2 linked regions of the Canis lupus familiaris genome follow. The protein of the gene in region 1 interacts with the protein of each later gene in a pairwise test. Links are inferred from orthologs where the notes say so. Each region holds a gene or a part of one and is shown on either strand. Other genes may lie near its edges.

Evidence for each region.
Region 2: the proteins of FLACC1 (region 1) and SULT2B1 interact in binary tests that used the Homo sapiens proteins (3 or more experiments, as listed by UniProt). The two-hybrid records come from large-scale screens. The link is inferred for Canis lupus familiaris from reciprocal best matches to the Homo sapiens genes FLACC1 and SULT2B1.

What each region holds. Positions count from the first base shown.
Region 1 is NC_049258.1:10,293,206-10,297,611, forward strand, and holds the start of FLACC1 (flagellum-associated coiled-coil domain-containing protein 1), read right to left. Parts: upstream 2,832-4,406; 5' UTR 2,462-2,831; intron 1-2,461.
Region 2 is NC_049222.1:108,410,700-108,415,023, forward strand, and holds the start of SULT2B1 (sulfotransferase 2B1), read right to left. Parts: upstream 2,842-4,324; 5' UTR 2,719-2,841; coding exon 2,648-2,718; intron 1-2,647. UniProt on the Homo sapiens protein: Sulfotransferase that utilizes 3'-phospho-5'-adenylyl sulfate (PAPS) as sulfonate donor to catalyze the sulfate conjugation. Responsible for the sulfation of cholesterol.

The sequences.
Region 1 (4,406 bases):
GCCTAATAAGCCCAGTGGCTGAAACTAGAGGGACCGACTCACCAAGGAGGAAGGAGATCCACAGATAAGCCACGAAATGTAATCGTTGTTACAATGTTATAGAAAATGTTAAAAATTAGAATTAAAAAACCAAAATGATTGGTAAATTATTGTACAGTCACTCAATGGAGTTTTACATAGGTTTTAACTGATTATTTGAAACCCTGTGGGAACATGAAGAAATGGTTAAGAATGAAGATATAAAATGGTATCCATGCAATGCATACAATTATGCAAAAGTTTGTGCCTATATGCACAATAGTTAGAAAAGAATATGGTAAAAAATGAAAATTGGGCCAGAATATCAGAATTATGGGTATTTTTCTCCCCCCACGGCATTCTTTCCTAAAATTTTCTTTGGGTTTTGGAATCAGGTGGGCCTGACTTTGCCTAACAGCTCCTCTACTTAATAGCTGTGGGACCTCAAGACATTTACCTTTGCTTTTCGGAGTCTCAGTTTTTTATCTGCAAAATAGGGACATGGAAGTTCCACCTCATTGTATTGTCATGCACATGAGATGAGACCATGTCAGAAAAGCTCTTGGCACATGGCCTTGAACACATTAGGTTCTCAAAAACTGGTAACTGAGTTTAGGAATATTATAAACCCTAGTGATATTTTTGCATACCGAAGTTTTTATTTCTAATATTTGGAGAAAATGGATTTATTTGTATGTATGTGTTAAATTGAAATAGGCCCACTGTAAAGAAAATCATAATACATGAAAGCGTAAAAAAGTAAAAATTATCCAAAATACTAACATGATGACCACTGAAAATATTTTGGTTAATAACTTCTAGAATTCACCCTGGACAAAAGAAAGAGATTCATATAATTTTCCATAAATGGAAAGAAACCATACATATATTATATATATATATTTTTTATCAACAATGTCATGAGTTTCTTTTAATGCCAGTAACTATAGGCATATCATCTTTTAAAAAAAAAGATTTTATTTATTTATTCATGAGAGACAGAGAGAGAGAGAGGCAGAAACACAGGCAGAGGGAGAAGCAGGCTCCATGCAGGGAGGCCCACATGGGACTTGATCCCAGGACTCCAGGATCACGTCCTGGGCCGAAGGCAGATGCTTAACCACTGAGTCACCCAGGCATCCCCGCATATCGTCATTTTTTAAACTTAAGTTTACTGTATTGAAAGTTTTTAAAAGTACAAAAGTATAATGAACTCACCTGTCATTCAGTTTCAATATTTAGCAATTTGTGGCCAATATCATTCATCTATACCCAGCCCACTCCTCTAATACCAGATTATTTTTAAAACAAATCCATCATTTAAGTTATACTCAAAGCAAATCTAGAAGTCTAAGATTTGTTTATTTGGCATCATAACTGTGTAAATTTCTATCCTACAACCATACCCATTTACATTTTTAGCCAGTTGAATATTGATGAACATTTGGTTGTTTCCTTTTTTTTTTTTTTCTATTGTAAACAGTGCTTTGGTATATTTTCTTTTGCTTTTAAAAAGTAAAGCCCTCTTCATCTAAACACATATGGAGATAAATACTCAAAATACTTAACAACTAGTAAGACAAAGCTGTTGAAAAATCAGAATAGACATGGGTTATAGGGCTGGAACAGGGTCCTACAAAACTCTGCTCCTACTCTTGTGCTGGGCATTAAACCCATTATGCTTAATTATGAGGAGGTCTGGGAGTACCAAGGGAAGAGCTGGGGCAACCAAGGTGGCAAGGGCGATATCTGAGGGGCTTATACAACATATACAGTTGATCTTTGAACAGCATGGGTTTAAACTGCACAGGTCTATTGGATGGCTCAGCGGTTAGGCATCTGCCTTTGGCCCAGGGTGTAGTCCTGGAGTCCCGGGATCGAGTGCCGGGATCGAGTCCCATGTTGGGCTCCCTGCATGGAGCTTGCTTCTCTCTCTGCCTATGTCTCTGCCTCTCTCTCTCTCTCTGTGTCTCTCATGAATAAATAAATAAAATCTTTAAAAAAAAGAATATAGAGGTGTATGTATGTATGTGTATTTGTCTATGCGTACACAACCATGTATGATTTAGGATTCTTTTTCCCTACTCTTTTCCTTTCTGTATTTTTCTGTGATGATTTTACCCGAGGCTCAGTGGACTGAATATGTTAATTAGTGACACTGTAGTTACCTGTGAGCCAGCTGAGCCTTCAGAAAGATCACAGGTTAGTACTAATAACCAGACAAAAAAATTACATAAAACATCTTTCCAGGGATGCCTGGGTGGCTCAGCGTTTGAGCGCCTGCCTTCAGCTCAGGGCATGATCCTGGAGTCCCGGAATTGAGTCCCACATCAGGCTCCCTGCATGGAGACTGCTTCTCCCTCTGCCTATGTCTCTGCCTCTCTCTCATGAATAAATAAATAAAATCTTAAAAAAAAAAAAAAAGGCTTTCCAAAGAGCTTACCTTGGACTGCTCAAAGATTTGTTTCTCCCGTGTAGTTCTTTTCCAAGTCAAGAGTCTTAAAGACACCCCAATTTTATAGAAAAACAGTTTCTCATCAACATAAAATAGCATTCATTTTAGATCAAATCTGGAGGTTCCAGAACTCGAGACTTTAGTGGTCATTCAAGTGACTGAAATGCCAAAGCAGAAAATCCACAGTATGTGTAGGGCAAATTTCCCTTCTAAGGTCAGTCTAGTTTGAGTCTTTCGATATTGCAGTGAAAGTCAAACTAAAAGAGAAAGTCAACCTTCCATTCAGACTCTCTTGACCTGGGCCTTGAGTTTGAGGTTTGTCGTTGGGAGATAGCAGGCAGAAGGTTTGTTTCTTTTATTGCCATGGAAACAGAATGGCAGCACCTCATTGGCTCAGGCACTCTTGCTCTTAAAGAGAGAAGGCTGGAGAAGCAGCCAGTTAACAAATTCTCCAAGACACAAACAAGACTAAATATGCTTAAGATATAATTTCAGAGGAAATAGAATTAAACAACCTTCTTAAGCTTAATTGGCCTATGGTAGTAGTTGCCAGACAGGATCTGTGGAGGATTTTAAATACTTTTGTCATTTGCTTACAGAAACCTAAAACTCTGAAGTAGGCAATTTCTTCCTTGAATTTCAGGCTTTGAAATCTGTAAAAGTACAAACCTCCTACGGCAGGAATCCTTTTCGGTTGTCAGTTCGACATTTTTTTTTCCTGTTTTCCTGAGCAGGAAAGCTGCTTTTTCCTCATTCTGGAAACAGTGCTTGCTTATAATAGACCAGTGGCTTTCATTTTTATTCCACTGCAACTCACTACACATTTTATAATAAAAAGTTGTGTGAAATAATATCTTTATTGCATACTATTCTTATCTATTTTTTTCTTCTATTTAGAATGAAAACTCATTATAAATCCACTTGGTTGATTTCATGATCCACTGATAGGTCAAAACCCATGGTTTACAAAACAATGTTATAGATTCATCCATTCATTTAACTTCACCTTTATTACCTACTCTATGCCAGGCACTGTTGTGAGGTATGGGGAAATATGTCAGTCCTGTGCTCCATAGAGCTTAGAGACTAGTGGGGAACAGACAATAAATTCAATAAAAGCACAATGAACCTTACATTAAGGGCCTCACCAGATGCATTGGGAATGGACAAGAGGGACTACTTATGAGTCACACAACAATTTTAATCAGAGAAGAGATTTGACTAGTTTTGAATATTAGAAAGCCCATTTTGACTGCAATGTAGAGAAACAGTTGGAGAAGCCAAGTCAGGAGGCAGGGTCAAATGAGACACAATGGTGGCCTTGGCTGGGGTAGCACGGTAGAGAGAAGAGGAGAAGACACTTGGTGATTGATCAGACATCACAAATGAGGAGGAGGCAATGATGATTCATGGGTTTCTATCCCAAGCAACTGAGGAGATGGCAGTGCCATTTTATTGAGATGATAAAGTCTGGAGGATAAACAGGCTCAAAGGAACAGATCATGACATCAAGACATACTGACATATTGAGTTTGAGGTGCCAGGGAGACACCCTAATGGTAATGTCCATTACAGAGTTTGTTCCATGATTTGGGAGTTCAAAAGAAGAGTCTGGGTTAGAAACATTTTAGGAATCTTTAGGGTAGGTAATATTTAAAAGCAAGGGAATGGATGAGATCACACAGGGGGGGAGTGTAAGAAGAGAATAGGGTCTAGAACAGAGCCCTGAGGAACACCACCAATATTTATGACAGTATTTCTTAAAGGGTGGACCATGTTATGGTTCAAATATGTACAAGCATCACTTGAACGAAAATGGCTTAAATAAAAAAGGTTCATGAAATACGAAGTCTGAAAGTAGTGCTACCAGATTGATGTAGACTCAGCAATGTCATTGGAGAATTGGTTTTTTTCTGTCTTTCTGTCATGCCCA
Region 2 (4,324 bases), on another chromosome or scaffold:
CTTCCAGCCCTGACTCATCCTGCAAGCCCTGGCTCCCGGCTTGCCTAATCTCCATTCATTCCTTGACATCATTCTCAGAGACTCCCCAGGGCCCCGAGGTGGCCCCGAGGTGGCCTGACTCTGTCCCTGTCGGTGAATAGTCCCCCGTTTGGTGTGTGGGATGAGTCTGAAGCTGGAAGTGTGCTCAGGGACCCACCAAGAATCTGGCATTGTGCGAGAGGGAGTTTGCCCCAAGAGGGGGAGAGATCATCCCAGGCAGAGGAATGTTCGCAGGCACAGGCCCCAAGGTGTGAGATCCAGGCTGCAGTGGGTGTGGAGGCAACCAGGTGGGGCCCTGGCATTGAGGAAGGTGGGGACTGTGGGAAGACAAGTGCTCCCACAGATGCAGCAGGGTGAGCAGCGGGACCTCAGCCCCACTCCCCTGTTTTAAACCAGAGCAGCTCTGTCTTGAACTCTATTATGGGTTTCTCCCCCAGAGTAAGATTAGTCTGGAACAAAGAAATCTCTGTCTCAAAAGGTTCTAGAAACAAACCATCACCATGGGTGCTAGTGAGCCACAGAAGGAACCTGAGCCAGAGGTAGATTTGGATATTAGAAAAGACTTCTCTGGGAATCCTCACGGAGGAAATGACTATGCAAAGGCACTGGGGCAGAGAGCAGTGAGGTGTGACCCGGGAATGGAAGTCCCAGGATACATGGAATACAGGCAGGAGGCCAGACCATCAGGCCACCACCACTTGGGACTGGAGGGAGGGGAGGGACAGCTCTGGGAAGGACTAGAAGCAGGGAGGCTGGGGTGAGGCAGAGAGAGGAGGCCTAGGGGGACAGGCAGGGTGAGGGCATGGTATGGAGAGTCCCAGGAGGGGAGGGGGAAAGGGGCAGTGCCTGGGGGTGACCCGGGGACCCATGATGGGGCCATCCCCGAGATGGCAACCCAAGAGGATGGAAGATTCGGGGGAGCCACTGAGCTCCCACTCCAGATGGGCATGGTGTGCCTGTCTGAGCTGCCTTGGGGCGGGGGGACAGGCAGGGTGCTGAGGCCCCTTGGGAGGGGCATCCTTCTGGGTCCAGGGCTTCCAGAAGCTCCTGGAGAAGAAAGGTTGAGGTCCGAAGGGCACCACCCAGGGGGCTACAGACATTCAGGCCTAGGGCTGCTTACAGGGGAGGGCTATTCACCCCCACATTCCAGATGGAGAGACTGAGGCTCAAGAGGGCACGTGCCTGCATCAAGGTCATGCACCGAGCAAGGGCTGGCGACCTGCTGGCCCCTGGGTGTGGGGGAGCAGAGAGGAGGGGGGCTCCCAGCTGCCTGGGTCCGGGGGGAGTGGATGAGGCCTTCCCAGAGGTGGAAGCCCAGCAAGGAGCCCATTTATCTCTGGAGGGAGAAATTGCAGGTCCCAGGGGCCAGAAGACCAGGAGAGAGGAATGCTGGGTGGAGGGTGCTAGGACCGTCCTGAAGCAGAGCTGGCACAGCCTGGTGACCCCCTCAGCCCCAGAGCCCCAGCGCCCCCGGGAGGCTGGTCTCCATCACACAGCAATCAGAATTCAACCGCCATGCACCCTGGCTCCTGGGCGAGGGACGGACCCACACACTACAGCCTGGGGGGGTGGGCCGGTGGGGAGATGGGCTCCTGGGTGAGGGACGGACCCACACACTACAGCCTGGGGGGGGGGCCGGTGGGGAGACCCTCCTGGCAGAGCATAAGCCCCTGGGGGTCGGAGATCATCTAAGCAGCTCGCTGTGTGACCCGGGGCAGGCCACCTGCCCTCTCTGGGCCTCCACTTGCTCATCTGAAAAGGCAGCCACGGGGAGGGGGGCTCGCCAAGGCTGTCGAGGACGGGGAGGCCACAGACTCCGGGGGCAGACAGATCGGGCTGGGATCTGCTTTGGGCTGCGTGATCACGCTCAGGGCACTTTCCCTCTCGGCCTCAGTTTCCTCATCGGGAAAGCGGGTACAATAAAGGTGTCTGACTCATCCCCAGGAACAAAGGGGTCACGCTCAGGAGGTGGGGAGTGCTGTGCCCTGACCTCTCCTGTGAGGGCTGATGAAGCCAGGGCCCGTCCTCCTGTCCTCCAAGCCCCCGGGGGACTCAGCCTCTGCTCGGGGCCCCAGCTGCACCCCAGCCCTGCCCACCCCTGCTCCCCCATCTTCCCGTGAACACAGCAGGCATCACATTCCGAGCCCTTGAGAGGGAAAGCATCCCCATCTGGGGGTGCTCTGGGGCGTCCAGCAAGAAAAGGGGCCCCCAGGCCCTTATGTTTCCCGAGCAGTTACTGTGAGCCCAACTCCTGCCCTCATCCAGCCCTTTATCAGGAAGATGACTTTGGAAGACAGAGAAACCAAGACCCTGCGACAGTCGGGGACACCTCAGGCATCCCAGCAAGTCACTCAGCACAGCCTTGTGCCCCACTCCCTTCCAGGAGAGACCTGCACCCAGAGCATGAGCCAGCCAGGTCCTGGTCTGGGTCAAGTTTGAGGCAGCAGGAGGCTGGAGGCCACCAATGCAGAGGCTCATGGCTCTTCCTGCAGGCCACCTCCTCCGGGGACAGGGAGGAGGAGGAGGAGGACGAGGAGGAGGAGGAGGAGGAGGAGGAGGAGGAGGAGGAGTGGGGATCTCCTGGCTGGTGCCCAGGCCCGGGCCTCACCTGATTTCTGAGATGTTGTTTTCGTGCGTGTCCCACAGGGCCGGGATCCGGGGCTCGGCGGGCCCGTCCATGGCAGGCCGGTGAGGGCAGGGAGGGGAGGACGCGCAGGAGCAGGAGGCACGGGGCCAGCTATGTGCGGCAGCGGCGTCTGCCACCGGAGGAGCCCGCCAGGTGCCTACCTCCGCGCCCAAGGGGAGGGGCAGCTCCCAGCCGGTTCTCCCAGCTGCTACCCACGCCTCCAACAGCGGGAGAGGCTGGGAGGGAGCCACCCTTCTCCGAGGGTGGGAAGGGGAGGAGGGCTGATGGGCACATCTCAGGAATCTCCCCAGTGGCCGTGGGCCAGAGTCCAGGGGGCAACTCCAGCTCCGTACTGGAACCTTCCAGGCTAGTGGTTCTGGCCATACCCACCTGGAGTCTCAGTTTGCCAATGTGACAAAGCTAATCTCATCTCAGAGAGTTCATTCACTCACGCGCTCATCTATTCATTCAAGAAGTATTTATTGAGTGCCTCGGGTCTGCCAGGCGCTGCTCGAAAGGCTGGGATCCTGTTAGAACCACCTGCTGTGTTCGCGGGAGGATGGGGGAGCAGGGGTGGGCAGGGCTGGGGTGCAGCTGGGACCCCGAGCAGAGGCTGAGTCCCCCGGGGGCTTGGAGGACAGGAGGACGGGCCCTGGCTTCATCAGCCCTCACAGGAGAGAGAGGTCAGGGCACAGCACTCCCCACCTCCTGAGCGTGACCCCTTTTTCCTGGGGATGAGTCAGACACCTTTATTGTACCCGCTTTCCCGATGAGGAAACTGAGGCCAAGAGGGAAAGTGCCCTGAGCGTGATCACGCAGCCCAAAGCAGATCCCAGCCCGATCTGTCTGCCCCCGGAGTCTGTGGCCTCCCCGTCCTCGACAGCCTTGGCGAGCCCCCCTCCCCGTGGCTGCCTTTTCAGATGAGCAAGTGGAGGCCCAGAGAGGGCAGGTGGCCTGCCCCGGGTCACACAGCGAGCTGCTTAGATGATCTCCGACCCCCAGGGGCTTATGCTCTGCCAGGAGGGTCTCCCCACCGGCCCCCCCCACCCAGGCTGTAGTGTGTGGGTCCGTCCCTTACCCAGGAGCCCATCTCCCCACCGGCCCACCCCCCCAGGCTGTAGTGTGTGGGTCCGTCCCTCGCCCAGGAGCCAGGGTGCATGGCGGTTGAATTCTGATTGCTGTGTGATGGAGACCAGCCTCCCGGGGGCGCTGGGGCTCTGGGGCTGAGGGGGTCACCAGGCTGTGCCAGCTCTGCTTCAGGACGGTCCTAGCACCCTCCACCCAGCATTCCTCTCTCCTGGTCTTCTGGCCCCTGGGACCTGCAATTTCTCCCTCCAGAGATAAATGGGCCCCTTGCTGGGCTTCCACCTCTGGGAAGGCCTCATCCACTCCCCCCGGACCCAGGCAGCTGGGAACCCCCCTCCTCTCTGCTCCCCCACACCCAGGGGCCAGCAGGTCGCCAGCCCTTGCTCGGTGCATGACCTTGATGCAGGCACGTGCCCTCTTGAGCCTCAGTCTCTCCATCTGGAATGTGGGGGTGAATAGCCCTCCCCTGTAAGCAGCCCTAGGCCTGAATGTCTGTAGCCCCCTGGGTGGTGCCCTTCGGACCTCAACCTTTCTTCTCCAGGAGCTTCTGGAAGCCCTGGACCCAGAAGGATG